Drosophila melanogaster: one gene and its partners. The protein of the gene in region 1 interacts with the protein of each later gene in a pairwise test. Each region holds a gene or a part of one and is shown in the gene's direction. Other genes may lie near its edges.

Region 1 (5,965 bases):
TGCGTTAAGCACCACGCAGACGGTTACGTGGTCATCGTAAACCAATCCCTTGGCCAGCACACCAATTAGTTGCCCTCGATCCAGGATGTTCCGGATAAGTAGAGTATTGCCCTCGACCAGGAAGGCCAAAATAAAGAGAATAAACGCTTTGCGCACTGTATCCTCGCATTGGTATTCACTTTTTTCATGGGACAGCAATTTCTGCGTCACAGTCACGTTGGAAAGCACATCATACGAATTCAGAACTTGGCGGGCCAATTGAGGCTCCACGCACACAATAGCGGTGAGCAGTTTTAGGGCATTACGCCGATGGCCTAGCTGCATTGATTTCATTTGATTTTCGAGCACTCCTCCGTGAACCTTGAGAAAATATCTACACCCGTGGACAGCCGACTCCATGTGGCTCTTCTGGTTGGTAAGTATTTCCATCAAAACTCGGTGCAAAGCCTCTGTGAGGTAGTCCACGTGAAATAAATTAGTCTTATCGATCCTTTCGAATGCTTCTGCTAACTCCAAGGGCTTTCCACGCTTTTCTATGTACTTAGCCGCAAGCTTAGGACGCGTGGTTGAGCACATGTGCAGGAAGTGTCGCAGTTCTGGAATTGGGATTCGTGAGTTAGCGATCTTTTATTGAACGTATTAACCCACCTGTTATGAAGTTATTGCCGCGAAGCTTGGTTCGAAAGTGCATCATCTTAAAGTCGTTGGGAAAGTGTATGCGGGATTCTTCGGGATCAATCCCGGAATCGCGACTTATTTCATCCTCAGCCATCTCCACTTCCACCTGTTGTTCTACACTTGTGTCGGATGTCTTTGTCTTTTTAGACTTCTTCTTTGATGGAGTGGAGTCAGCAGGATCGGTTTCAGTGCTTTCCAGCGTGGATTCATCGAATGATTCCTTAGTTTTATCCTTCTTTTTCTTTTTCTTCGGTGTGTCGGACTCCTTGGCCAGTTTTTTGGGCACCTCCACTTCACCTTCATCCTCTTGCTCAGCAGTTGTCTCCTCGTGCCTTCTCTTTCTTCGATTGGGTTGAATGGCCATTTTGCTTTAATAATAATATTATAAATTATATTTGCCTATTTACAGCATAAATCGTTTAAAATTTAAGTTAAACACAAAAACAGCCGCACACACGTGCTGGCAGAGAATGGTATGACCCTTTTTAAAATACCGAAAAATACCGCCCTTGTTTCAGTGTTGTATAGGGCGACACTTGGCGCGCTAAAATATAAACTGGCGAAACAGGAAAAAAAACAGAACAGCAACTTATTCAAAGAGATTAAAGTTATGATTTAATTTACCAACAATTTTATACTCTCCAACAATAAACAACGTATTTTACTACAATACTAACTACAAAGGGTGCACAACTTTGAAAAAACCACATCTCGGCACGGAATGACTCATAATCCAATCTGCCATTTGGCAAATTTACAGTTTTCCCTGGACGTGAACGTTTTTTCTGTTCCTTTAACCACGTCTAGTCATCCTCGAGGGCCGCATTGGTGGCTCCTCCAGATCCATATCCAGATCCTGCAGGAGCCGTGCTAGTCACCGATCCAGAAATCGGGAATTCTGGCAGAGTGGAGCGTTGTTTGGCTGGAGCCGGCGGAACCGCGGGCAAATCGACTGATTTACTTTTGCCTGCAAGTACACAACTATTATTAGTCGCTGTTATTGCCTTCTGAAGATAGCTGCAAATCACTTACCAAAACAACAACCCATTATGGTATACTCTTTACTGATTCTCGGGACGAGTGGGCTAATTTGCTGAAAGTTCTTTGAGCACTAAATCGGGCAAATCAAATCGGTGGCCAATTGACTGGGTGCGTATGTGTGCACCTGAGGCGTACAAACGACTCATGGCTAATTGATAAGCCCTGCTGTTACTTTTATTCTCTTTTTGTTTAAAATGTAAAGTGGGTTATTTATGACACCATGGGTAGGTCTGCTATCAACAGTGTAGTTCCCCATCGGCCGTATTAGCATCGTGCAAAGAACCGTAGAACTGTGATAAAAGCGGACAATGCCGGTCGGATATAACCGCAACGAAGCGACCAACAAACCAATTGCGATAAGCTCTTATCAGGGGAAAACGTTTTCAATGCTCTCTAATTGGCGCTAAATATTCAATTGTCGTTATGATATCGTTTATCGAAAAGGCTATCGATTGAAAATTCCGCTCTTGTGGGCCAGATTTCAAAAACGCTTAGAAGCATTTGACAATTCAAGCAATTTACGTAGTAATTGCGAACATTTTTAACAAATTAGTAGTTAACATACATTTTACAAAAATATATATTTGCAGGATTTATAATCTCTTTAGAATTATTATTTCTGTATAAAATCCCAGAATTTCATTCCTCTCTAACGTTTTTCTTTGTGATAACAGTTTTGATTGTTAATCAAATTTTTATAGCTGGAATTAAAGTTCAGCAAACATTTTCGTTTGTTTACCAGTGGCCAGTGAGACCGTTCGCTGTGGCGCCTAAAAAACCAACATTTCACTGTTCCTCAAAGTGCGGGGGGGTGGTGCGTTCATTATCAGCCGGAACGTAAACAGCGTCGCTGCTTTTCACGCTTTCCGATAAAAATGTTTAAATCACACTGTGTTAATTAGAGCCCAAATCAAAATCAATGCGCCCGTGGACGCGAACGACTCGAGATCGTGTGCGCGTGAATGCGGATCGAGTAGTTGGTAGCTAGTTTATCAAATTCGAACCCTTGATATAATAAAAATAAAGGTGCGCGAGAATACGTGAATTGCGATTTTTGGCCCGTGAACGAATCACGAGCAAAGCGGATAAACAAAAGCCATAAAAAACAGATTCGCACGAGAATCATCGCAAAAGTCTGTGCGCATAAATTACGCTCCCCAATTGGAATTGGAAAAGTCTGGTTTTCGGCGAGCATCCGCATCCGCGATGGACGACGAGTTTAAGCTGTGCTGGAAGAACTTCCAGGACAACATAGCCAGCGGCTTCCAGAATTTGTACGACCGCGGCGACCTGGTGGACGTGACCCTCGCCTGCGATGGAAAGCTCCTCCATGCCCACAAGATAGTGCTGGCTATCTGCAGCCCCTACTTCCAGGAGATATTCACTACCAATCCCTGCAAGCATCCCATCAGTGAGTACACCGATTAGGCAGCACAAGATTGCGGCCCCATCGCCGGCGTCCCCGGTTTAAATGCTAAGTTATGCAGCGTGGCTTACATTGTCAGCGCGGCATTTATATGTGTATTTTGATACTGGGCACGGAAGTGGTCTTCCAGAAATTGGTCAAGTTTAATGTTCCGAGCTTTCGTTGCCATGCATATGGATGATCCTAATGGAACATTGAGTGCGTAACTGAAGGATTCGGGTTTCTTACAAATTGCTTGGCTCTTGGCATTGCAAATACATTGTAGACATATTTTCTTGGAATTTTAATAAGCCGGAAAAGAGTCTGACTATTCGCTGGGCTATTTCATACCCTTCACATACATACATAGTCTGTATAATGCCAGGGAAGAGTGACTGCTGGTTACTTGGTCAAGCATATTCCCCCAGAAATCGGTCAGTTTATCACTGGGACAGCGGTGTCAGTTTATCGAGGAGCCCGCCCGTCAGCCTGTCTGTTCATCACTCTTGTCAAACGCTTAGATATAAATCAACCTTTGTGTTAAATTCCATGACACATTCGGTGGTTATCAGCCCAGCTCCACCGCCAGTTCGATTCCGAGTTCCAGACGAGCGTCCCAGCACGACTACGTCTGTCTTTACAGTATCGCTACCATAAATCCAACTATACCCGCCCTATTAACTTTACACTTTATTTCATAAGCCTAACTTGCCTTTTTTTTAGCATACAAAGTAATCAATCGAATAATATTGTTAGTCGTTTGATGGATCGCCCATTAAAATTAAGTAGTGCAGCGATATTAGGAAGATTATAAATCGTTTATGCAAATGCATTAAGGTTTATCCAGCCTACAGTTATCTAAAGACTTTGTAATGAACTGTAATCATTTGATAACCGATTTGATTTACTAATCCAATTCAGGGTAATATAATCCAATTCGTAATATCTGTCCGTTTCTGATTCATGTTCCAGTTAGTGAAGTTTGACTGTAGAGTCGTAAATCTAAAGACAAACAGCAGCAACCCACTAAGAATCGAGGTCTGGTGATAATCCTCCGGTGAGCCGGAGTGCCGCCGCGTTGTCTATGCCTGTGTGGTAGCTGCCGGAGTCCTCCGCCTCCGGAGGCACACCGGGATTGTTTACCCACGCCACGCACGGAGTATCCACCGGCGGAGGGAGTATCGTGATAAGGTCCATGGCAAGAGAGCGCAGAGTCGGAGCCGCAGCCCACTTCGATCGGATCGGGGAGATTGGGTGCGTTGCTGACCTCATCAAATGTACTTCAAATGGACTCTAGAACGGTGGTGTACTACTATTTATGTACGCTATATGGTGTATGGATATGATATCGCCGCGGCCCCTCCTGGTCGGTACGATTCCGATTTCGTTCGCAGTCGTGTTGAACACGGCTGCCTGCTGCACGGTGGCTTTATCTGATCAGGCGGCCATAAAAAATAAGGTTTTATCTTTTCAAGTAGCTGCAGGAAGGTGCTACCTACCCACAAACGCTGCTACAAGAGGTATTTCCAAAGATAAAGAATATTAATATACCCTATAAATAACGGCGAACCCAAGCGGGGGCAAGCTATTAAATGTAGACCAGCCCAGCCAACAACAGTCATCGAGGTGCTAACAAGCCAAATGGCTATGTGTTTGTTCCGTGTGTAACACGCAGAAACAACAACAATAGTCGAAATATTTTTTATCTTTTTATCGCGTTTAACAATCATTTATTGCCCAACTGAGTAACTGAGTGCCCGCCCGCCCACTCCTTCACCCTTACAGCCACTCGAAGAATTTAGTTTAGTCGAGATATTGATTAGAGAGCCTCGCAACATATATACGTGTTTCCGCTGCTCCGGACGTGTAAATCAATCCACACTGTGCCGTTCCAAGTGGTTATATCTGGCCAACAGTCACAGTCCCCAATACAATGCTAATCCTCCAAAATTATCTATTTATTATTGGCATAAACAAGACGGACATAGCTCAAAGAAGCTGGGGTCGGAAAAATCGAATTTTTGAAATTTGAAAGCTGGAATCGTTTGCCCATTTTTTGCCCATGTTTGCCCACCAATTAGTTTTTTTTGCCCACGTCCAGTTTTTGAGATATGAATTTTCGAAAAAGTTCGAAAATTTTCGAAAATCAAAAATTTCGCTTTTTTCAAAATTTTTTTTTTTTAAATCGCAATAACATCGTTTGCCCACGTTTGCCCACCCTTTAGAATTTTGAAAAAATGTATACTTTAGAAAATATAAGGCTTTTAAGTTTACCTCGGTCTAATCAGAGAGTAAATCGTTTGCCCATCTCTTAAAACCAAATATTATCAACAAAAAACGTTTGCCCAACAATTATTATTAGTTTTTATCGTTTGCCCACCCTTTAAAAAACCTTTAACAAAAATTTTTTTTCGATTGCCCACATTTAAAATACAACCAATTTCCTTAGCCAACCTCTTTAAAATAAAAATTTCCAATAAAAAAAGTTTGCCCACCATTTAAAACTAAATAATTTCGATTGCCCACCTTTTAAAACTAAATAATTTCGTTTGCCCATCCTTTAAAATTCATTTTTAACGTTTGCCCACCCTTTAAAAATAAATTATTTCGTTTGCCCACCCTTTAAAATTTGTTTTTTTCGTTTGCCCACCTCTTAAAAATGGTTTTTTCGATTTTTCACCTATTAAAAATAAATTTGTACATATGTATGTAATAATTGTAAGATGTGGCGTCAAAAGCACAGTTACTTACAAAAGAACAGTTATTTACATATTTACATACATTTTCAATATATCCATAGTGTTAATCATTCATGAATTGTAACATCAATTTTTCTTAATC
Region 2 (5,326 bases), on another chromosome or scaffold:
TTTCTTCCGAGACACATTTTACTTACCTCATTTACTTAGGTTCGCAACTTAGTCAACTTTGTGCGAAAAAGGGATCCCAGAGTGCAGGCCTACAGGCGCATGCTTGAGGAACGCGTCGAGGCCAATCGACTTAAGCAGGAGGAGAAGCGCAAAGAGCAGTTAAGGAAGCGCCAGGAAGAACTGGCAGCCGTCAGGAAAAATAATGTCTTTAACGAGGGCTACGAGGAGCAGCTAAAGCAGTTAGAGCAGCAGTACGATAGCAAGTCAGAAGATTACACGGATGAAGACGAGAACGACGACGATGGCGAGGACTTTGACCATGAAGGCGGCCAGGAAGCCGAGGAGTACGAAGTGGAGTATGTAGACGATCTTTACTGCGTGGCATGCAACAAGACATTTAAAAACGCCAAGGCGCGTGCTAATCACGAAGAAAGCAAGAAGCATAATGAAAATGTCGACCGGCTGTGTCAGGAAATGGAGGAAGAAGAGGACGCTTTCCACAATGAACCCCATGAAGACAGTTTAATGGGCGTACAGGAATCGCTGGAAGAATTGCAAGTCTCTGAGGATCAGATATCTTTCGACGGGGTTCCAAGCGAAGAAGAATCTTCGCTAGCCAAACGAACCAAAAAAAACAAAAAGGCAAGGAAGTCAGCTGTCAAGCAAGCGCAGGCGGAAGGCAGTGACGAACCAGATGAGCCAATAGAAAAGAAGGCAATCAAGAGCGAGTCAGAGGATGAAGACTGGAGTAAAGGCAAAAAAGCGAGCAAAAAGAGTAAAAGCAAAAAGACGACGACTAGGAAGGTTAAGCTATTAGAGCAAACTGTTTCGGAACCGAATACAAAGGAGGCAACAGTGGCTCCCAAAAGCGGAGATGAGGACCTCGACCCGACCAAGTCGCAACACACTTGTGTTACCTGTAGGCTTGTCTTTGACTCCAAGAACAAGCTGTTTGCCCACCTAAAGAAGACGAACCATGGTGTCTACATACCTAAGGCAAAGCCTAATGTTGAGGGCAAGCCTCCTGGCAAAGCTAAGGGCAAGCGCAACAAGTAGGGTCGTATAGATATCCACCCACACCTTGTATCTATACTGTAGAATGTTAAAAGTTTATTTATGCTAATGATAAATTTAATTCGAGAATGAAGTTAAGTATGCTCGCTCCAAGTCAGATAGTGTTCTTATTGTATTCAAAGGCAGCTACGGAATACAGACCAGTTTACTGCCCGCCTCCACGCGTCTGCGAACTCGAGTTCGCATATTGGAAGACTCTGCCTTTAGGCTTATACCGGCGGCAGTAAATGTTAGGAGTACCCCAATGATTCCGCAGTAGAATGAAACTCCTGTAAGGATTAAGTTTAGTAAGTTTCTAAGAAAAGTTTCAAAGAATTACCTATGCTACAGTCGGCGGGGTAAAAGGGTTCGGCATCCATGCCGCATAGACGTTGAATCCGGTTCGCTCGCCATCCCATCGGATGCAGAAATAGACCCAACATCATACATATTCCTATAAACAATGCAAACTTAAATGCTGCGAGGATATCACAGTAATGGTTGCTTACCTGCTACGACCTGGGCGCAGGCCGTCATGTTGTGTATGCTCTTGCCACAGGCCGACTGGCGGCAGCAGGTGATCAGGGTCAGGATCACCGTTACAGAGAGTAGACTAAATCCCAGCATGACGAAGAACATTGCCGCTTTCCATTCGTTGGGGTAAACGCTACTGTCCGTGGCCAGTCCGTCCAAGTCGAAGCGGCCGCATTGGAATCCGCCCTCCTGCATGACCTTGCAGCGCGTGTAGATGCCCACCGAGGATTGGTGGTGAGAGCTGGCGGTGGAGTCTGTTCCTTGGGCGGGGCCCACCAGCCACCTGGGCGTGACCAGGGCCACAGCAAAGAGCATGTCGGCCACCAGCGAACAGAGGAACCACACCAGACTGGCGATGGTGATAATAACGTAGCACATTTTGATGCACCAGATTTTTCGGAGTACACAGATTTAGCGATCGACGACGGGCGATCGCAACGCGTCAGCACTTGCCGGATAGATAATAGACTCTAAGCGCTCTTACTTTGTCTGGGCACGCACATCCCACACCCACTTTGCCGTCACCCACCACCACCGTCGCACCACTCGCCACCACCAGCAGCGCGGGGCCAGACCAGAACTTCCTCCCAGCTGACCAGCCCGAAATGGAATTGTTTATTTTATGTTTTCGCCGCTCGCTGTTATGCGGTGCCTTTCTGCCGTCTGTTTTATGTTATTCACCCCACACTCACACGCGAGCGGAGGTTGACTGTGGGATAGGGGGAGCACGAGGGCGAGGGCGAGGCGGTAGACCGCGCAGTCCGCGGCTCTGTCAAGAACAAAATTCGCAGCTGACGTCGAAGCGAAGGGAAATAGAGTCTAGCGGGAAAATAACTCTGCCTCGATGGCGTTTTCGCTAATCCCCCAAGCGGCTGCAGCTATTTGGCAACTTTATTCCACACTCTGGAACTTTGGATCTGAGCTTCTGTTCGCGCAGGCGTGTCTGCTGCCGTTCCTCGCCAGCGTCATCTCTCGCCGACTCCGACCGACCGAATGAATGGAGCCCATTAAAGCCAGCTGCAGTCGCAAACGGAGCCAGGCCCCAATCGGAGCACTGGAAGAAAAGGTTTGGTGCATCAAATCGTAATAATCGAGTTCTAAGTTGGTTTATGCGTTACGTATTTATCGTATAAATTTAAATCAGCCGGAAGAATTTAAGAAACTGAATGACTATGTTTGGTAAGAATGTTTACTTAGAGGAAATAATTAATATAAAATATTGTAATTTAATGAGGAATTTTTTTCGAATGTATTTTGTATATTTTTAAATGTTGATGTTTTCAGTGCCTTATGCAGATGTGGGCGCCGATTTCTCATTGAGAGCGTGGAAATCCAGACATTCCGAATTCAGAATCAGTCCTCGAATAGCTCTCCCTGGCTCTCTGCACACGCGTTCGAGTTGGATCCAATCTGTCGACTCCACCACCACCAACCCCACCATTGCCTCCACCCCCGTTCGGGTGAGTAATGCACGCCGCCGCTTCGATTCGGGCTGATCATGTGCAATTCCGATCGAAACGATCTTCGGTCGAGCGGTTATCAGTTGGCCGAGTGTGTTGGGGGCCATTGCGTCATCCGCACTGTGTTTGTGCACAGTGATCGTGACCGAGGCCGTAATGAGATCCGTACACAAAGTGCGCAGCCTCCGGAAAGCACTTTCACTCTCCCTTTCGTTGCCTGAACCAATCCGCGGCTCATCACTTGCCATTAGCCGAGATGTCGCGCCGGATGGTCTTCCTACAGTTGCTGCTGTGGGCAGTAGTAGAGGGTCACTATTACTACGACTACGGCTACTGGGAGATCAACGAGCCTTCACAGCTTTGCTCCGACTACGAAATGCTGGTGGTCAACACCCGCCAGTGCGTAAGGCGCTGCAACATCGTCTGCCTGAATGGAGTGTGCTTCGAGGACGGATCCTGTCCCTGTGCCGATCAGTATATGGCGGGTAATCCGGATGGTTTGGTGTGTGCCGCAGAGTGCCTCCCCGGGTGCGTGGCGGCAGGTGGCTACTGCGCCGCACCAGATCTCTGTGTGTGCCGTGAGGACAGGCACTACTACTTTGATCCCCTCTCCCAAAAGTGCCGCCACAGGGCTCCCCGTCTGCTGGACCCCTGCCTTGGGTGAGTATGATTCTTGCTCCTCACCTTATCGCTTAGGAAGTGTACATACATACGTATGCGTTTATGTGCCCTTTCTCATTTCCAGGCGCTGCACACATGGCAACTGCTCCTCCGACGGACGGTGCATCTGTGCCCAGGGATACGAGCTAAGGGACAGCCTGCTTCATGGACAGCAATGCATGCCAATCTGTGATCAGTAAGTTTGATTGTCGCTATATCTTTTCGCCACACTTGCCCTAAACTGTACCTCCAGCAACTGCGGACCACGAGCTTACTGCTTCGCTCCTAACTTGTGTGCCTGCCGGCACAAACAGCACCATTATGCTCACAACGGCATCTGCTCCGGGAACTATTGACCTAGAGAGGAGGTTTGACAGCAATGGGGCTGTTTTAGGTCCCGCTGATGTCGTATGGATTTTAATATATGTATTTATTGTTTAGGTTCATGATTATTTATGAATTAAGCTACAAGACTATGTTACTCTTTTTATTGATTTAAAATTTTTATGGAAAGGCAATCTTGTCTTTAGAAACTGTAAGGAATAACATAAAATATAAAAACAGCTTTAATCGCCTCATAAAGTAACCTATAATTTGTCCATATTAAAATACCAACTTCAAAAACGCATTATGCATATGTATTATATCGATTTATCTAACCTGAGGAAATATGAGAAGCACTAACTTTATTGAGTGCTTACCCTTTCATAATGAATGGGCAACAATATACAATATGTAGTTACGCTTGATAGTTCGTATTGAGTCCGAAAACTAAAATGCCTTACCTTTCGCAGGGCACAATTCAGAGAGCGCAGTGAGATTTTGATTTTAAAGAGCGCATGTCAACTGGTTTGGTTTTGGTGTTGTTGTTGCCGCACCCCCTCCCCCACCTATCAACCAATCAATTACAAAGAGACTTTGTTATTGTTTATAACAAATCGGACACATGGAAGTGCAGAATATTACAATATACAGTATACGATTTCCGATCCCCACCGATCAGCAGAGAAACTGAAGAAGACATGCGTACGTGTTCTCCAGAGGCGTCGCCAGCGAACTAAAATGCTGCTAGGGGGGGGTATCATAGAGGGAGCGTGGATCTCAAGAGGGACTTCTGTGCTCAGATGTTATTAGGCCATTGATAATGCCCGAATTTTAGAGTGTTTGTGCTTGCGGGGCCTATAATATTTCGGGTATTTCAACTAACCCACACCCCCCCCCAGAGGATATTTCTTAGATAAAGACCAGTCGGCAGAACCGTCATTTTTAGCTTTGCGCGTGTGGCGTGTTATTGTTTTACTTGTTGTTGTTCCACTAGAGGCGGGCCTCTTGGTCTTGACGACAAGGCACACTGGGCAGAGTCAGTAAACAGGGCAAATAATATTTTCTTCCTTTTTCCAATTTTGATGAAATTGGATATATACCATAATTATTATTTAAGAATTGCTTTTCCACGTAGTGTCGACTAATACTTTCATATGCAATATATTTATATAAGTTGAACCAATAACACGTTGTGACTTTGCTCCACTGTGCCAGAAGCAATAACAACAACAACAGTGGCAGGCGGCAGCACCGTGTCCGCCGACGTTGTTCTCCATCACGATTTAGTTGGAGTT
Region 3 (5,764 bases), on another chromosome or scaffold:
ACCACCGATAATGGACCACGCCCAGCACCAGATAGATAACCCGTAATTAACCCGAACCGAACTGCTTAACCCTTGAAAGCCTTGACCGCCATCTAAACTTGGTAAAAAAAAAAAAAAAACGTTACTGCTACAAAACAAAAATGCAACTTATATATGTGTAATTACTAGTGACCCTCCTGAACAACTGACAAAGCCTTTACTCCAAGAAAACACACACAAAAAATACGAAGACTACAATTTTAATATACAAAAATAAGCGAATCGAGATCTTTAATCGAAATTTTAAGAAGAAAGTAAGAGAGAGAGATCCTTGAACAGCATTCTTCGGCAGGCCGAAGTTTAGATGCTCTTTCAATGCCCACACACACATATGAACTAAGAAAAGATCTATTATATATACATATAAGCCTGGCCGCTTGCTCTTCAGTGTACTGGAACGGTTATTTTTTTTTTTGGTCACCTCCCATGTTGCAAGACTTTTTAAAAGTGAAAAGAACGAGAAAAAGGCAGAAGTACTGGAGATACCCTTGCTAGATAGCGAAAACCCGAAAAGATCCTCAAAAACTATCATTTGCAGGGGCATCAACAAGTTATATAGTATATTTTCAAATTTTATGTCAATGAATAGAAATGGATATATACATACACATATATATACACACACATACCAACTAGAATCATAAATATATACATACAAATAGTTATAATTTGTAAGTAAAAAAAAACAGAGATCAGATCGCCAGCAAGCCACATACCTTAAATACAAAATACTGAAGACACACAACCCAAAAGTAGTTGAATTCTTTACGATGATCGAGTAATAGGGATCGGGAAATATTATCTCAGCAGAAGAGCAAGATTTGTGTGTAAATTAAATTAAATTCAAGAAGTAAAAGAAATTCGCCACCCACAGATAATATCCCTCACCACTCAATGGCAATTTAAACAGTTCATGCAAGAGATAGACATACAAACATACATACATACATATATATGGAAACAAACCAAAGAGCATGAGGAAAACAAAGTGCTGAGCAAATTCGATGTGAAGTAATAGTTATTATATATATATATATATATATATATATATATATATACATACACACCTATATACAAGCCTAAAAAGATTTAGATGTAAAAAGCTCTTGGCACCCCCTAAATAAATGAATCAAATATCGCTGAGTCACCCACACAGAAAAGTCAACATGGGTATACAACTAATAAATCAGCTAAGAAGCGAGAAATTCAATGAAACTTTTCCGAAAATGCATTTAAATGGTAAACAAATATTTAAATGAGATAACTCAACTTGTATTTAACACTTAGTTATGTCCAACTCAGATTAATGGCATATAAGACAACTACAATACATACAGAAAAAAAATAAACACACAGAGACAGACAGACCGAGATAGCAAAGGACTACTCAAGGACACACCAATACCAATAGAAGAACCTACGAGACAAACACGAACACACGGACACACTCACACACACACACACACACAAGTATTTTTGTGTAAAAGTATAAAACAGAAAATATGAACTAATGAATGAATATGAAATATATTGAAATAAAATCATTTCCAAACTACTTATTAAAAAATGTTCTGTACGCTTTTATTGGGACAAAGAGCTGAGTAAAGCTGAATATTTTGAAAATATTAATCTTTATAAGTTTGCAAAATAATTTTTAAATTTCGGAATTCCCTTCATTTTTCAGTTTTTAGTGTTATAATTTATAGTTGAAATAATTCCATTTATATAAAAAATTCTTCATTACATGTACATAAATTGTATTGTTGAATTATTACTCATAAGTCAGCCATAAGATTCACTTTTTTATTTAATTTAAATGTGATCCTTGGCGGGATTTTTTCTCTTTGAAAGCTAACGTTATTTCCGGTGCTGTGTTTCTGAGCTACGCTATTAAGCTTTTGCAAAAGCTCAAGCCCTCCTTAAAACCGGAATCAAATCATGTGTCTAATTCAGAACTAAAAAGCTCTTGGCTGGTTCGAAAGAACACTAAGAATGTTTCCCAAAAGCTATGAACCCTTTCGAATCGAGCAAAAGCTTACAACACGTTGTGTTGTCCACGGAAATGTTGCTGTTGGAACGTCAATGTTGCTATAGTGGCGAGCCGATGTTGCTACCGCCCAACGCCAGCAACATTTGTTGGGGCGCAGCCTCGTCGACGCGCCGTCAGTTGGCTCTTGACTCTCCCACGCTGCAGTCGGTGGCTCTGGCCGGAATCAGAACCGGAATCGGAATCGGTATCGGAATCGCAATCCGAATCGGAATCGGAATCGGAATCTTGCCCGGATTGCATAGAGCGTACTGGGAGTGAGAGAGTGGTTCGTCACACTTGCAGTTGCAGTTGCAGCAGCAGCAGCAGCAGCAGCAGCAGCGTAGTGGCAGCAGCAAAAATCAACAAAATCAACAAAAGGCAACACAAAAGACGGTGGGCAAAAAGCAATCAGCAAACAGTCGGTTGTAAAAAGGACTCGGAAAATGGGAAAATCGTGGGAAGGGGGCGCGGTGGGCTGGTGTGTAGGCTAGCTGCTTGCCACTGCTGCTCGCTGGCTGGGAAATTCGTGCTGTGTTTTGTTTTCACATTTCCCTTCATTTTTTTTTTTCAAGTATTTTTAGTGCTTGCGTGCGAAATTTTGTTGGTGTCAAAGTTAAACAATTTACGTGAGATGTAAGTAGCAGAGCCTTGAAAAGAGCAAAAATAGCAAAAAAAAAAAAACAAAAAAAAAACGAAATAGAAAAGGGAAAATCAATGCGGGTACGCGTGTGCCCCTGTGTGTGCGTGTGTGTGTGTGTATGAGTGTGTGTTTGTAAGAAAATCCATAAAACGGCGTGAAGTGAAACTCGAACTTGTCGCTCTCTTTTGGCGCACAGGACATGCAAATAATAAATTACACGATTCGAATTAAGCACTGGATGTATGTGGGTGTGTGTGTGTGTGTGCACTTTTCTGTTTTTGGCAGCCGCAAAGAGCCAAAAAATATGGCAAAAAAAAATGAAAATGAAAATGCCCCAAGAAGCTTTGTAAACAAGCAATTCGGCTGCCAAACACGGAACTGCCGAACAGCTGATCCGCCGCCCCCTGCAACCACCCCCTGCAAAATGCCCACCATCAAACGCAAAAACACACACACACACACACAAAGAGGCAGAGGTGAAATTGCTGCCAAAAACTGTCTGTCGACACAATGCAGAGAAACTTTTTGGCCAACAGAACAGTGGGCAGAATTTGCTGATATAATGTAAACACTAGAGCATGGTATTTTATTTTATATCGAACAAAATCAACTAAATTCAATCAAAAATCTCTGAGGCACACAATTAATAAATGCAGCCAACTATGCGATCTATCAATAAATCAGTCTAAAAGGAATTGCATTCATTCAAACACTTTGTTTTGGATATTTTTTTCAACCATATTCAAATAATATAAAACTGAATTGTAACTAGTACATTTAAGACACTGTTTTACAACATGAAATTGATTGAAGTTTCCAATAATATATCACCTTTCTCCACACACCGAAACACACACGCACACAGAGTGCAAGGACAGGCCAAGAAGAAGCAGCAGTACAAAAAGGATAATTGCAACAGCAAACATAAGAAGTAAGCCAGGCAACTGCAACAGCAACATTTGCTGCAAGTGCAGCTCCCACAGCCATCGCCGCCGCCAAGTTCAAAATCAACGCCTGACAATGACAAAGGCAGCAGCAGCAGCAGCAACAGCAACAGCAACAACAACAGCGGCAGCAACACCAATCAAAACAGCAGCAGCAACCAAAGCAATAACAATCAATGGGCCCCAAACGACATGGCGACGTCAACGAGGCTGCTGCACAACAACAACAACAGCAGCAATACGAAACATGCAGCAGCAAAAGCAAAAGCAACAGCAACAATCGTACTTGCAACGCCTTAAGGCGGCCGGTCGACTGGGGGCGTGGCCGCCACCAATGACGTCGTTGCTTTGGCTGCCAACTGACTATCTCGCCCAGCTGATTTTGGCCCTATGCCTGCTGGGCTGCCTCAGCCCCTTTACAGGTAATTAGCATTTAATTTATAGCACTATAAATTAGGGATATAATCATGATGGATCCGCAATACACTTGCCAGATATTTGTCCATTATCTTTGAGTATTTAAGGGGTTGTAGTCACTGCAACACTGCAACTGCGTATCAACAACGCGCTGTCACCAGTGCGTATGAGTGATATATTTGGCTATATCACGTATCCGACACATATGCCCACGACAGAAGAAACTAATGAACACATTTGCATTTCTTCGTTAGCACCGCTTCGTCGAATCAGTTTTAATGCCCTCTAATGACGCGATTATCCAGGAATAACATTTGCGTTCCGCTTTTCGTTTTGCACAAAATGAATTTTGTTGTAGGAAGCTACATAGAAATTAAAAAAAAAATAAAGAAAGAGGAAATGAAACTGTCAGAAATGCTCCCATAACAATGTCAGCCTGCCTTCGCTTGAATATTTTCCCTTTTTTTTTCTCCTGCGAAATTTGCATATATCGAAGGTTGCAAACACTCCAATTTCTAAGGCGCCGGTGAGTCGGCAATAAATCTGCCTATTACAGTGTATATTCGTCCAAAGAGATCCCCAGTTATTTAAAATCAATAATGCAGTTGCCTTAATGTCAGCACTTAAAGTCAATTTGTTATGGATTTAAATGAGAAAAAAAAACTCAATGAATCTCCTGAGTTTCAAAATCAATTATTCAGCGGTCTTAATGTAAACGCATTTGTTAACTACAAGCAACATATATCTCTCTTGTGTTTTTCAATCAATAGTTTTGCTAGCAAAAAAAAAAGTAAAACACAAATAATAGCTGCAAAGGCCAGCTGATCAATAATTTAGCTTGCCAAAAATAAGCAAGTTAATAATTCATTTCAATGAGCAGGCTAAATTTCGAAAAAGAAAGGAAATATAAAAAATAAATATTAGAATATATGTATATCTAAAAGTACACCTGATCCATTGAATCGAATGCCTACTGTACTCCACCTAGCTAGTGCTCAATCAAATTTGATGATTCTGTTTTTCTTTTATGTGCCAGTCGGAGCCGAGCCATAAACAATTGCCAGCGGAATGAGAAAAGTCTTGAGATTGCCAGAAAGGGTACAAATGCAGTGGGGAAAAAGGGAAATTATTGAATACCACAATTTTAGGCATTTTCCATCTATGATTTTGTGATATTCAAAGAACTCTCTTTATAAATTTGCTGTTTTTTTAAAGATATATCAATGATCCACATAAATTGGAAAACAAGTTAAATATTCGCTAAAATTCGCTTTGTAGCTACTGTTTCTTTTCTAGCCGTGTATGTGTTCTTTCTATCGAGTGAGTTTGAGTTGTTAGTAAGTTGGCTACAACCTTGACTTTGCACATGCAACGAACACGACGGTTTTAACCCTCGTTTCCGAAACCCAGAAACCACTTTGGTTACACACAATTTGAATGTTAGAACGGAAAGCTTAGAAGAATAGAAGAAACTGGAACATCTGGCTGGTGGCTCTCAAGTGCTGATGGTTAACTCAAGTGAGATTGATATCGTACAATATATACCCCATCAATCATGAGGGTTTCTATGGCATTCTCTAATTAATTACATGATGGCCATCGTGGACGTCAATGGGTTAAGATGAGCCCAGCTCAGAAGCAGGGGTAAAATATATTGAAAAATTGGTTGGAAAAATTCAATTTAAACACTTTAAA
Region 4 (5,446 bases), on another chromosome or scaffold:
TTACATGGTCGTTGTCCAGCGAAGAAAGCGCCGGATTCCACTCCCTAATTGGCGGATCGATATAGCGCGGTGGCAAATGCCGCGGGAGCTATTTCCTCCGCCGCCTGCTCCCCTCCCTCACCCGCACCGAACGCGATGTCCAATCCCAATCCCAATAACCAAGCACCGCCAGCAGGCGTTCCGATTTGGCGGCAAGTGGACGACAACGAAGGCTACAACGACGCCCTGACCGATCGAGTGACAAAGTACGACTAATATTGGATCTCAGGAACTTCGGTACTGCCGGCAGCTATTCGACCAACCAGTTGGGTCCTCTCTCCCTCTCTCTCTCGCTCTCGCTGTGTGTCTCTGTCTCTTCCTCTCACCTCACCCACTCATGCACACGCTGCTCACACGGACAGGTGAGCAGTGGAACGAGCCAATTCCAATATCAATTCCAGCTCCAAACGCCGCTTTGCACAGTGGAACATCATGGCCAAAATGGTAGCTTTTTAGCACAAATATTTTTTGTTTTTTCTACAAGATTTGTCCCAATGTTATTCCCGTATAATGATATCCAAAACGTATATGAATTGTGTTGTGTCACTTTTGTCAAAGTATAATATAAAATGATATACAATAAGCTTACTTTAAAATGTTTTTGGCCCAAAGACGCTACAATTACGGTTTAATATAAAATAAACAAATAAAGGTTATTTTAAATTATCAAGCAAGAATGACGTGGCATTGGGTTCAATGGGAATATTTTTTGAAATAGGTTTTTGTTAGCAAAAGGTGAAAAGAAGTTTAGACGCTTTTCAATCTGTTAATTGTTTGGAAAGGGGAGAAACGGTTGTTTTGATATTGTCGCAAGTGCCAAGCAATGCGACCCACTGTGCCGCAAACCTGCTTAACTCACAACACACGCGATGCGGCGGCTGCTGCTGCTGCTGGTTGTGGTGCCGCTGGTGGCGATGGTGCTTCTAGTCCTCCTGCCTCACTCCACACACAGGTAAAGAATGGAGGCAACGGCTCCAAGTTGCTCAGCCGCATTCCACGAGCTCCAAACTGAAAGGTTGTTGTCGGTTACTACTGCGGTTGCCTATGCGCTTGGGACGGCGAAATTCGCCATTGGGTGTTGCAAGCCGCTTTCAATTCAAGTTCAAATTCGCGCTTTAGTAACAAAATTCACTTATAGTTAGATTAACTCAGTTTTGGCGCTTTTCGTATCCAAATTCACTTCGGTTGGATTCAAAAATAAGAATTGACCGCCAACGCTGCCAGACTGCGTCGAACTGGTCGACAGTGTTGAAAAGTTCGTAAACTGGCGGCAAGAAATCGATATAACTAGTTGAAAGTGTCAATAGTAGTGGAGCTGGAGTCCAGAAAAATATTTCGAATTTAAAATAGATTTAATAAATTGGAATTATTCGATATAACATTGATATTAACCAGGGGGAGCCCTTTTTTATGCTAAGGGTAGTATGAGATATTTCATTTTATACAAGTTGCAGGATTATAAATACGTTTTAAGACATTACGATAGGTAATTGCCAGCTGTTAGTTTGATCATATTTAATGCTGCAGGACTCCTCGAACTTTAATTATGTTAAGTAGCTATGTATGTTATGTATTTGTTTGGCCAAAAATGTTTCAAAAACTCGAGGCTTTTACATAATTAGTTTTAAATATTCCGTACTAATTATCAGTTGTTATAACGTATATTTTTTTTAGGTTTTTTGAATATTTTGAACGTGAAGTCAACGTGTTCAATTAAACACTGCAGAATTTTTTAAATCGCGTGTTTTCAGATTAACACGTTAAATGTATGTTCGTGAATATATCGTATCGATATTCGTGCTCGTGGTTTTGCCATCCCATCTCCAATTTGATGAACATATTTTTCGACGACTGCGATTGCAACGCACTGCCAAAGAGAAAGAGACATGACTGATCCTAGCAAGCTCGCCGTCGCCGTAGTCTGTTCCTCGAACATGAATCGCTCAATGGAGGCGCACAACTTTCTGGCCAAGAAGGGTTTCAATGTGCGCTCCTACGGCACCGGCGAGCGCGTCAAGCTACCGGGCATGGCGTTCGACAAGCCGAATGTTTACGAGTTTGGCACCAAATACGAGGACATCTACCGCGACCTGGAGTCCAAGGACAAGGAGTTGTGAGTTATTCGTTTTTCCGGCCTACCGTTGGCTAATCCCTGCCCTTTCGTCCTGTTTACAGCTACACACAGAACGGCCTGCTACACATGCTCGACCGCAATCGTCGCATAAAGAAGTGCCCGGAACGGTTTCAGGACACCAAAGAGCAGTTCGACATCATCGTCACTGTGGAAGAGCGCGTCTACGACCTGGTGGTGATGCACATGGAGTCCATGGAATCCGTGGACAACCGACCCGTGCACGTTCTCAACGTGGATGTGGTGGACAACGCTGAAGATGCGCTAATGGGCGCCTTTGTCATCACAGACATGATAAACATGGTATGATCATCTGTCGTCCATTCCCTCAATTCGCCCAACGATTCTTGTGCCTTTGCAGATGGCCAAGTCCACGGACCTGGACAACGACATCGACGAATTGATCCAGGAGTTCGAGGAGCGCCGCAAGCGGGTCATCCTGCACTCGGTGCTCTTCTACTGACGACCGACGTCTGCTAACAGTTCGTGTCCAGCTCCAGCACCAACACCAGACTCCCGTAGCCCCGACGCGCTCCAGCCGAGTCACTCGATCTTGTACCCCAGGGGCTGCGATCGCAGAGCATAGGACGTCGGGCATTGCGCGCAGCGCGTGCGGATCCTGGGTTCCGGATTGGTAGCCTAGCATATAAGAATACTGTAAATAGAGAGGGGCCATCGCTGCAGCGAAAGCACATCCAACAACGACCAGCACCCACACACTCGCATACTCCAAACACCTGATTCGTAATCCACATCAACACCACACATGCAAGCAACTGGCTAATGAATTGGAATATAACACACAACCAATGACGACCATTTCCACACGGCTGCCCCCCAAAACCCCTGTAGTAGTATGTGTACGTGTCCGTATTCCTTGTAATTTCGCCCGTCGACTGGGGGTCTTATCACAGGCTCTCGCTTCCCTCAGCTGGCGAAGGCGCCGACCATCTGACTCCGACCCGTTCTCCCGTTCGGCCGCTCTGCCGCTCTCTTCGCCCGGCTTTGAGTCCGATTCGGACTCAGATTCGGATTCGATTCACATAAAGTGAAATCTCGCATCGTGATTGTGTGAATGAGCATGCACGCCAGAGAGCCACACAGGGGCGGAACGGTCTGGGCCCTCGCGGGCAGGGGCCGCGTTTTTTAATTTTACACAGTTTTACCAATTGTTCAGACAGGGCAAACCCGACCGACCTTGGTTGGGGCTGTGCGTTTTAAACCAAAGGCAAAGGCCCGCAACGGGCGCTAGCTTGCAATAGAAAATAAACAACAGGGGAGTTGTGTTCACTAAGGATTGGAATAAAAGTGCACGCCAATTTATGCCGGTTTCTTGTTGACGGCCTGTGTCACATTTACCCTGCGACCTCAAACCTGCCTAGGTCTTCTCTTCGACGGAAATACCATTGATTACGTCTCATCCCACTGCTACCTCGGAGTTCACCTTGATCGGACGCTGAGTTGGAAAGCCCTTATCACGGCTCCTGGAAACTGAAAAAGCTGGACTGGGTTTTCCACTCAAGCAAACTCCATATGGCAACTAAGGCTCTCTTAATAAAAGCCATATCCAAGTGTGGGGAACAGAGTATTAGAGTAAGACAATCGGGAGCGGCACGACATGCATCTGGGCTACATGTGGTATGTGAGCAATAGAGTTATTGAAGGGGACTTAAAAGGTGTCCCATTGGGGTACCAAATAAACTTCCATAGCAGCCGATATGCCGACAGACTTAGCGCCCACTTAAACACGTTAGCGAATGATCTTGTCGACCCTATTTCCCTCCGATGTCTGAAGAGAATACATCCCCATGAACTCCTTACACGTAATATAGCATAATCTCTCCTCGGTACATTTGTATACACTATAATTAAGGAACAGAATCCATAATATCTTTTAAGCTACACATTAGGTTAACTTCAGAAGGAACTGATCGATTCCTACTGACTAATGAATAATAATAAATGATTTAAACTCTAAAAAGAAATGTTGACGTTTGCTCGTTTTCACTGACCAAATACGACGTGATTCTAGGTAGGATTAGAAATTGTAAGGGTGTTGTTTAGTAATGTGGGAATCATAATTCTAGCATAATTTCATCATTAAACTCATCAACGCATCAGATCAATGCTCTCAGATTAAACAGTTTTATTTCCATGTTATACTATGATATCGTATTATTTGTATATTTATGTGTTATCCATCAATTCCATTCACATGTAAATCCAGATCGAATGGGCCCCCGCGCGCACTGAATCCGCTCCTGTCTGCGATCAGCTGCGCAGTCGGGGTTACAAAGCGTCTGCTGCTTTAGCTGTTGTTGCTGGTGTGTTGGTGTTGTTGCCATTGGCAGTGCTTGCTTGGGCGTTTGTTTGCTGCGGCGGTTCGCGCCGCGCTTCAGTCAGTCAGGGAACGATCGTGCTTATCTTCATTACTACTACCGCTTCCACCGAGGCTTCGCGACTCCGTACCCGTACTCGCTTTGTTTTACGTTTGCGCTACTAGTTAGTGAATCCGACGACGACGACCTGCGCGTGCGATTAAAGCGCCGCAACTCTTTGTAATTACACAGCCAGAGCCGCAGAGGTTGCTCAAAATCCAGCGACTGGAGAAATCGTATATCGAGTTGGAAATCCGAATCGAAAGGCTTGCGTATACATAGTTGTCACACTTTTGCTTTTAAACAGAAAAATCCATTCACATTCGGGTCAAGATGGCAACGCAAAAGGAAGGTGAGTATCGCAGCTTTGGGCAATTGGTATCGAATTGGATTCCACACCGCGTACTGTTACCAATTCGATTTTCGGGCGCGTACTTGCCGCGATCACTGTCGCGCCAGGTGGACTGGCTTTCCAATCGGAATCCGATTGCGAGTGCGAGAGCCAGTGCCAGTGCCAGTGCCCGTGCCAGTGCGCCCTTCAAATGTGCTCTTCGCCTGGCACTGGGGGTCACCTACAAAAAGCAGAGGACGCGGACTCGGCCGACTGTCTTCTTATCACAGGAGAGGCCACACCGCTGCTCCGCTCCCGCACCCGCACCGCTCTCTATCATACTTTCATACTTCCACTCTCCACTACCACTGGCCACTCTCCACCTGTCACTCTTACTCTCACTCCTCCACGCCTACTACTCACTCCCCCAACTACCCATCCAGCCGAGCGATGACGTGTGGGCGCCGCTCTTGGCCATCGGACGGGCTTGGATCCGAGCGGCCAGCTAAAACAAACACTCGCTGCGTGCTCCAAGATTAGAACCCGGCAATAGCAATAACCTTTGGC

What was found.
Region 2: the proteins of CG34376 (region 1) and CG15861 interact in a two-hybrid assay, tested with the Drosophila melanogaster proteins (one large-scale study listed by BioGRID).
Region 3: the proteins of CG34376 (region 1) and CG32647 interact in a two-hybrid assay, tested with the Drosophila melanogaster proteins (one large-scale study listed by BioGRID).
Region 4: the proteins of CG34376 (region 1) and Ssu72 interact in a two-hybrid assay, tested with the Drosophila melanogaster proteins (one large-scale study listed by BioGRID).

The regions. Positions count from the first base shown.
Region 1 is NT_033777.3:22,445,491-22,451,455, forward strand, and holds the start of CG34376 (uncharacterized protein), read left to right. Parts: upstream 1-2,608; 5' UTR 2,609-2,925; coding exon 2,926-3,130; intron 3,131-5,965. Other genes in the region: CG12499 (uncharacterized protein), read right to left, coding at 1-596, 649-1,042; CG34288 (uncharacterized protein), read right to left, coding at 1,482-1,645, 1,711-1,726.
Region 2 is NT_033778.4:24,942,400-24,947,725, reverse strand, and holds CG15861 (uncharacterized protein), read left to right. Parts: upstream 1-2,524; 5' UTR 2,525-2,766; intron 2,767-2,871; 5' UTR 2,872-3,303; coding exon 3,304-3,707; intron 3,708-3,792; coding exon 3,793-3,903; intron 3,904-3,960; coding exon 3,961-4,063; 3' UTR 4,064-4,334; downstream 4,335-5,326. Other genes in the region: CG2790 (uncharacterized protein), read left to right, coding at 40-1,056; CG3770 (uncharacterized protein), read right to left, coding at 1,201-1,343, 1,394-1,507, 1,563-1,965.
Region 3 is NC_004354.4:12,781,399-12,787,162, reverse strand, and holds the start of CG32647 (uncharacterized protein), read left to right. Parts: upstream 1-2,204; 5' UTR 2,205-2,461; intron 2,462-2,640; exon of another isoform or gene 2,641-2,701; intron 2,702-3,573; 5' UTR 3,574-3,728; coding exon 3,729-4,074; intron 4,075-5,764.
Region 4 is NC_004354.4:19,662,721-19,668,166, forward strand, and holds Ssu72 (Ssu72 CTD phosphatase), read left to right. Parts: upstream 1-1,840; 5' UTR 1,841-1,925; coding exon 1,926-2,152; intron 2,153-2,214; coding exon 2,215-2,473; intron 2,474-2,531; coding exon 2,532-2,633; 3' UTR 2,634-4,146; downstream 4,147-5,446. Other genes in the region: Zw (zwischenferment), read left to right, coding at 4,882-4,900.